Linked DNA regions of Drosophila melanogaster. The protein of the gene in region 1 purifies or fractionates together with the protein of each later gene. This does not show direct contact. Each region holds a gene or a part of one and is shown on either strand. Other genes may lie near its edges. The genes, in order: Atpalpha and Tctp.

The links.
Region 2: the proteins of Atpalpha (region 1) and Tctp purify together in Drosophila melanogaster (affinity purification with western blotting, with the first as the bait; one study listed by BioGRID). This does not show direct contact.

What each region holds. Positions count from the first base shown.
Region 1 is NT_033777.3:20,946,702-20,950,628, forward strand, and holds the start of Atpalpha (Na pump alpha subunit), read left to right. Parts: upstream 1-2,078; 5' UTR 2,079-2,104; coding exon 2,105-2,128; intron 2,129-3,927. UniProt on the Drosophila melanogaster protein: This is the catalytic component of the active enzyme, which catalyzes the hydrolysis of ATP coupled with the exchange of sodium and potassium ions across the plasma membrane.
Region 2 is NT_033777.3:11,208,005-11,211,931, reverse strand, and holds Tctp (translationally controlled tumor protein), read right to left. Parts: upstream 1,686-3,927; 5' UTR 1,552-1,685; coding exon 1,033-1,551; 3' UTR 34-1,032; downstream 1-33. Other genes in the region: SdhC (succinate dehydrogenase, subunit C), read left to right, coding at 2,133-2,134, 2,192-2,705; cu (curled), read right to left, coding at 3,476-3,685, 3,751-3,927. UniProt on the Drosophila melanogaster protein: Involved in calcium binding and microtubule stabilization.

The DNA.
Region 1 (3,927 bases):
CATTACGCAAGCTATGAAGCTGCCTTCTCCGAACTGAATCCAACCATCGCAGCCATACCCACACACCCCCCCCCCTCCACTTCCTACCCATGGGCTTAGTGGGCTGGCCACGCCTCCTATTGAATTATTCCAGTTTTATTTCTCGCCATTTGGCTTGGCACACACCGAGGCATCCGACTCGGCCGTGAAGCTGACTCCTTGCCGCCGGTGGCCCGGTTGTTGAACCACAAACACCCAGACACACAGAAACACTAAGCACCAGCACGCAGCAGAGGCAAAGACACCTGTTGATTGGGCCTTTCAGGTTATTTGAGCCAAAGCCAATGCCAAAGCAAAAGCAAAAGCGAAAGCCAAACCCGAAGACAGTGGCAGTGGCAACAAGGCGATTTCCCCTCAGCTTATGTGGGCTCAATTTTGTAGTCGAGCCGGCTTCCTTCTAATGGCCATGGGATATTGAATCGATTGACGGGGCCGCAGGATGAGAGGGCGGGCAAAAGGATGGGCAAAGTGGAAAGTGGGTTGCTCTGCAGCTGAGCGAAAAGTCGTTTCGCCTAAGCAACCGCAGCCCCTTTGGAGCTGCTTCCTTGTTTGTGCTCGTGTCGACAACAATTGATTTCAAAATATTAATTAACCGGATAAACCAATTGAAGCTTCCGGAGAAGGTAAGGGCAAATGAAACCGTGCAAACTGTGCTCTTTGTAAGAGTGTGCAAATTTGGCATTTCCTTGTAATTGGTCACCGAATTGATCAATTGAATGAATCTGTAGAAATTTAGATGCCATTTTGCTGGGAAGCTAACTTAGATAGAACATGCTAGCCTTCAAGAACAAAATGACTTGAGACATCTAATTATCCTGATTATATTTGGGGTTTAGAGTTGCGATAAATTCAGCTTCGACCAAGTGGAGGTCAGCATTTCGGATGATAAAATGAGATCTTGTGCGGACGGAGATAAGTTTTCCAAATGCCTGGTCGTTTGGAGGATTGTTATGTTTATAGCTCCATTACACTGACAAATTGGAAGATCTTCGTCTTGAGTTCCACATCGTGACTCGTACTTATCAATAGTGTTCTCAATTAAATTCATAATTTAATTATAATCAATTACGCGGTCTGTTGGTTTCGGGCGAACCTTCAGTTGGTGCTTCCAATGATAAGTTGCTGGATAATGATGACGAGGGGTATCAGGTGTATCTTGAAATTTAAGTATAATTTAATTAGTTTAAGTAAGCTGAACTTATAATCTCCAAGATGCGTTTTTCCCCACAGGATCGTCGAATTGCTGAGCCTTCGAGAATCTCTGGCCCGTTTGAAGCCATTCATCGCAACAATGATCAACGATCAATACTGAACATAGGAAATAAATTTGAGAAGATTCAAGTCCAGTTGAACATTTCTTGGAGAGTAGCTAATTTATACGTTTAACGAACGCCATCTACACTTCGTTCTATCTGCCACTTAAAATTATTTTGCTTATACAGCGCCACCTATGTTTGGAATGCAAGAAGACGCGCGTATTGTATTTGGTATTTTATTATCTCTTGAAATTGAATACACATAACTATAACGTTGGCAACTCTCCATATCTGTAAATATTCAAGATGGCAACTATCGTAGTGTGTATATTTTAATCTGGCAGCTCCAGTAATTTTCACGCTTGCAGTTGATATAAAAAGTACATAAAAGTATGTTATTTCCAAATTGAGGTGAAAAATTAAACATATTTTTAACTTGGTATTTTAAATTAGCAATTATTAATGAGAGTATTGAAATCCAAACATATCCAGATATTAATATTTGAAGGTAGCATAGTAACAACTTTCGGTAAATAAATATCCAGGTATATTTAAAATACTTAACTTTTCATTTTAAATAAACCAGACTGTTCGGACTATTGACAAATTATAATAGTAATTTTATTCATAATGCAATATTTACAATTACATTTTCTTAACCGATTGCCATCCCGATTTCTACACCGGCTTATTCGATACAATAGGCCGATAACTCTCCATTTGGTAGTCACGACTTCTAAAATATCGATACGTTGGAATTGTGTAAATTTTCCACATCCCTGGGAATAATCGAGTTAAATTAAAATAACATGGCGTTAAGGTCGGATTACGAGGTGAGCAAAAATAAAGCCTGGATTACGATGAAAACTAAGTTAGTTAAGTGAGAAAATGGTTAAGTTTAAACTGTTGTTAGACCATGACGAGGGAACCAAAAAGAACCAGGGCCAAAACAAATTGGCCAAGTGATACGCTGAGCGGGCGTTGTTTTTAGTGGGAAAAATCGAAGCCCGAGTGCGCTGTGTGGGTGTGTGCGTGTATCTGTGTTGTGTACATTGCTTTTGGTGTTGTTCTTGCTGCTGCTGCTGCTACTACTATTTGTTTTGTTGCTGGTGAAAAAGCGAGAAGCAACGACAACAACAACAAAGCCGAGGCGACGCCCAACGAAGTTTACTAATTTGTTTGCGGGCTTTCGGTAACTGCAAACGGAATCGAATGTGAAACGGGGCGCAGTTACTAATCCTATTGGATCTGGATGGGCCTATATCCGCTTACCTGCTGATCTGTAAAAATAGCCTGGGCTTAGAGCCTGGCTTTTGACTTTTTTCTCGAATTTGTATTCGCTCTCCCTTTCTCTTGCTCTCTCTCTCTCTCTCTGCCTCTCTGTCTCTCTCTCTCTCGCTTTCCAGGTGCGCTTAGCTGGCATGCGCAATTTGCATTTCCAGGCCGACCAGTTTCCCAAATTTTCCACTTTCCCGGCGCGAAAGCTTTTCGCTTTTCCGTGCTTGGAAATCTTCCAGTTTTCGGCTTACATAACCGGTACTGCTGCCGCCCCTCCCGAACCACGCCCCATTCCGCCGCATCTCGCAGATTTCATTATTGGAATCTCGAGCTCTAGAACGAAACTACCCTGCATAACACGTTTATTTTTCCATTTTCCGTGCTTTCCCTCCTTCCGGAATTGGTGTCATTGGGCCGAGTAGTGCGCTGCTAATTACACACACTGGCACATTAGCGTAAATCGACGTACTTCTTACCGTACTTTTTTCTCAGTACGTAGCCCTTACTTTCCCTTCCCTACCCCCTCACCATTCGATTAGTTACTAAATGCCCCACCGATGACGCCACTTAATTACCCCGCAGAAGGTAATGAGTTCTTCGCCAGGGTTGTTGTTTCCACCCGGGCTTTCGGTTCTGTTCCTAGGGCTAGACCACCAATTCTAAGTCCGTATTGCCAGCTCTATTGATTTTGGGGCTTGTCTAAGGGCAGGTCACACACACGCACGCACCCACACACATACTGGTTCGACGGCCCGAAAGTATGCAAAACTATAGAGCAAGCGGTCTGAATCCACTCGCAACAAACAGTGGGTCCAGATATTATTTGTAACGGGAAAACTTGAAAAGAACGCTTAAGACCTCACTTAGACTTGAAAGTGTCTTGTAGAATATATTTAGATATTATTATATAATTATTATAATATATATTATATTGTGCATATTTGTATTGTTATAAAATTAAGTATGTAATTCCAAAATTACGTCTTTATTAGTATTGTAGTGGTATGCATATTTTAAGAATCAAAATAAGTTACGCAAATTATTTTAAGTTTAAAAACATTTGTGGTTGGGTTTATTGGGTTGGGTTTCATACAATTAATTTTATAAAATATGACGCATTTCCCAACGGATTTTCAAGGGCAAATTCTGATGATAATATTGTTGGTGTAGAATACAACGTTGCATAATTATTATAATTCAATCTGCCGGACTACGACATCTTATATCTTAACCCAGTGTGCTCAGTGGAAATTCTATTATGATTTCACGCACAAATCCGCGTAAAGCTGAGTTATGTACGAGTATATCTCACATCCCCCCACCAGCGTTGTGGCTTCGTTTTGTATGCTGACTC
Region 2 (3,927 bases), 9.7 Mb from region 1:
TTTTAGCTTTTTATCCCGAAAATGGTTCTATTTCAACTAGATTCAAATACTTGAATAAAATATTCTTTACAATTTTAGGAAAATATATTGTGCTTTTCAAAAAAATTGTTTTCGAACATCAGACAATATCGCCGTTCGCCCTAACGAGTGTCCACTGTGCGCATCTCTCACGCGACGAACGGCAACAGGTCGACACGTTTCGCTGAAATGGAAATAGCACCTGGGGCGCAGAGCCCCGCCCTTCAAGCAGATAAAGACGTACGTATTGCTTGACCTGGAATTAGATTATAGAATCCCAAATTCCAGCGAGAGCGGCGCATTTCATTAGCATGGTTGAGGTTAGGGCGAAGCCAACGTGAGAAACTGGGGCAAGTCGAACTGCAACGTGCAGAAAATCGTGTTCCACTGCGCATGACCTCCAAAATGTCCAATGACGGTAACGGTATTGGTGCGGGGCATGTGTACATCACTGTCAAAGGTCAATAACTCCGCGATTGCCCCAAAAAGCAGCAACAACACAAACTAACTGAAGTCTGTGACTCAGACGGTGGTGGCGCCCTCTCGTTCCCACTCACGCCGCCATATGGCGGCGTCTACCTACGCATAACTGCAGATTTGGAAAGAAGTACAGACATGCGGATTCACAGTTGTTTTGTATAGGTGTTCCGTTTAATTTCAGTACTGGTGTTCCCATTTTCGGTCTTCGTTGCTTTTTGATATCTTAGCGAAAATGCATACTAATTTGTAGGTGTTGCTATCAAATTATTATTTTAATTACAATAGGTGGCGCAATTGAATTGTTTAGCTCGCTGTGATTAAACAATAAACATACAATGTCGAATTTATAAGCGCTCCGGTAAAAAGAAATTAGATATAAAATCGCACTGATCGAAGACAGGCATTTTTGTCAGCGTTTTTAAACATAAATTTAAGACTTTCAAAATTGTAACTAAGCATCTGATAAATATGTATATGTGTGTAGAAGGTATGCATGAGTATAGGTTCCGTTTTGTTTGGGGGATTGGGATCCATCTAGCATTTCTCCTCCTCCAGACCGTGCTTGAAGAACATGAGCACGGGCACGCTGTCGCCGTTGATTTCGCGGTATTCCACCAGGGCCACCATGCCGTCGCAGTCCATAGATTCGCCGGTGAAGAACTGCAGCTCCTTGAAGCGGCCAAGGATGTCCTTCATGGCCTTGTTCATGTTGGTCTTGAAGATGTCGACCTGGTCGGGCGACTTCTCCTCCAGCTTGGCCAGCACCTTCTTCATGTAGTCCTTCAGGTAGAGGGTGTACGACTTCTTGTCGCCGAAGGCGAAGCACTCCGTCAGTCGGTGGTTAAGCACAACATCCACGCCAGACTCCGAGGTGATATCAGTGCCCTCGTCGGCCTCCTCGGCGGATGCGTTGGCGCCCTCCAGCTTGATATCGTCACCCTGGCGGGTGATCAGCTTTCCGTACACCTCGTAGATCACATCATCCACCAGCTTCATCTTGTAGGTGTCGGCAAACATCTCGTCGCCGGTGATGATATCCTTGTAGATCTTCATGGTGATTGGCTTGTCGGGAGTCGGAAGATGGCGTCTAAATCGCTGGCGAAAATGCAACTACAACTGCACCGGACCGGGAACACTGCGAAACGACCTGCCACGCGCTCACTCGAACAGCAAAAAGAATGAGCGAGAAAAAATGGCGAAAGAACTGCCAACTCGCTTGGGAGTGGTAACGATTGATCCGGGAGTGGCAGCGCCTACTATACACGTATCGATAATTTCAATGTTTTCTTCGATTTATTGTTAGTTAAGAGCAGGGAATATTAACAAGGCGAACAAAATTATTATAGCTATAATATTGATGTTTCTTACGTATATTTATGGCCATTCTAACTTTTAATAATTTGAGACTGTTTCAGTAAAAAAGATAAATATGTGTAATATTCTCAATTGGAATAATATAAAAGTGGGAACAGAATTAATCATATAAAGTAATAACAATGTTTTACAGTTGATATAAAATCAATACTTTCGAGACTTATTTGTTTTTTACCAACGTAGTGGCATCCCTGTTTGCGGTAATATCGCGCAGTCAGTGTACGGTCCCATCAATACAAGTTCGAGTGAAAAACAGGGAAATGTACGTAATTTCTGTGATGGCACTGCAAAAACCCTGATTTGTGACTGCTTTTTGCAGGTATGCACTCTCCAGTTCTTTGATCCGCTCTCCGGCGCTGCGCCAGGGCCTCCAGATGGCCGCTGCCAGCCGCCCGGTATCGATGAAGGTGGTTTCCGTGGCCGAAACCCAGAAGGACGAGTCGTTCTTCGAGAAGAACGAGCGCTTGGGCAGGGAGCTGTCGCCCCATCTGACCATCTACCAACCGCAGCTGACCTCCATGCTCTCGATCTGTCACCGCGGCACAGGATTGGCCCTGGGTGTGGGTGTTTGGGGTCTGGGATTGGGCGCTCTGATCTCGTCCCACGACATTAGCCACTATGTGACCATGGTGGAGGGCCTCCAGCTGAGTGGCGCCACTCTGACCGCCCTCAAGTTTATCATCGCCTATCCGGCTGGCTATCACACCGCCAATGGTATTAGGCATCTCCTCTGGGACACCGGACGGTTCCTGAAGATCAAGGAGGTTTACTCCACCGGTTACGCAATGGTCGCCACCTCTTTCGTGCTATCCGCTATCTTGGCCCTGCTCTAAGTCCAAGACCCCAGCTAAACCTATTACATTTTAGTGCGAACACTGTGTGAAAATTGTTATATACTAAATACATGTAGTGTGTATATTTATAAAGGTGTTTGTTGTGTTACGCAATCCATTTTGTTGCTTTGGGCGTGCTGCATACGTTTGTTGTGCGCTGCAATTTGCACGGTGTGCGTGTTTTTAACGATTTCGGTGATTTGTAGAGTGAATTCAGTGTGGAGGCCGGTTAAATAGACATCTTGCGGTCCATTGACAGCGAAATCAAGTATACGCCCCGAACAAGCGATTTCCGATAGCAGAATATTACTTACATGCGCCCAAAAGTAGGGAATACTTTTTATAGGCTTAAATTTACATGAAAAATTAAAACCAAATGCAAAAGGGCTCCGAAAATGTATTTATTTAAGAGTAGCTCTTTGGCTTCCCTAACTATAGAAAAGTCTTCTAAAGATCCTTTTACTTCGGAACTGAAGAATCTTTTTATTAGATGGGGGATTCAGTTCATGTACAGAATCTATATAAAATATGTATATCCTTAATTTTGATTTTTAAGAGGTCATTGTTATATGGATAGAAAATGCAGTTCAGTTAACTTTCTTCCATACGTTGTAATTTATTTATTGTGAATTTTGGATTATCATTTGTAAAAGCTGCAAACTGTAGTGCAACGGTTGTGTATGAGGCTAATATGTATCTAACAACTAATATCACAATCGATGTAATGTTATTGAAACTTCTTTTTCGGCAAATTATGAATCTGAAGCTTTCTATTGAATGGATCCATGCTTGCTGCCCTCCACTTCCGTTTCATTTTCACCATCGCTCCCACTTCCGCTGCCGCTTTCCTTTCCGTTTTCCGTCGGAGGCAGTAGCTCAAAGTCACACACCAGGGAAAAGTGATCCGATGGATATTGGAAGCTGGGTGTGCGATTCTTGCCAATTTGCTCTCCGGCCGGAAAGTCTAGACAGTTTTTGATCTGAAATTGGACATAAATATTGTTAAATAAATTGTAACCGCTTGCAACTATTTCAGAAATCCCACCTTGAGGCGATCGGGTGTGTAAAAGACGTAGTCGATGGTGTGACATTCCTCGCCCTCTTCGCGAATTTTCCAGGTGGTGTAGGGTGGCTCGCGTTTCATCGATTTCGCGACGAACTCACCGACATCCGCGTTGGGATGTAGTATCTCCTCGCGGTCTAGCTTCACGTCGGCATAGGC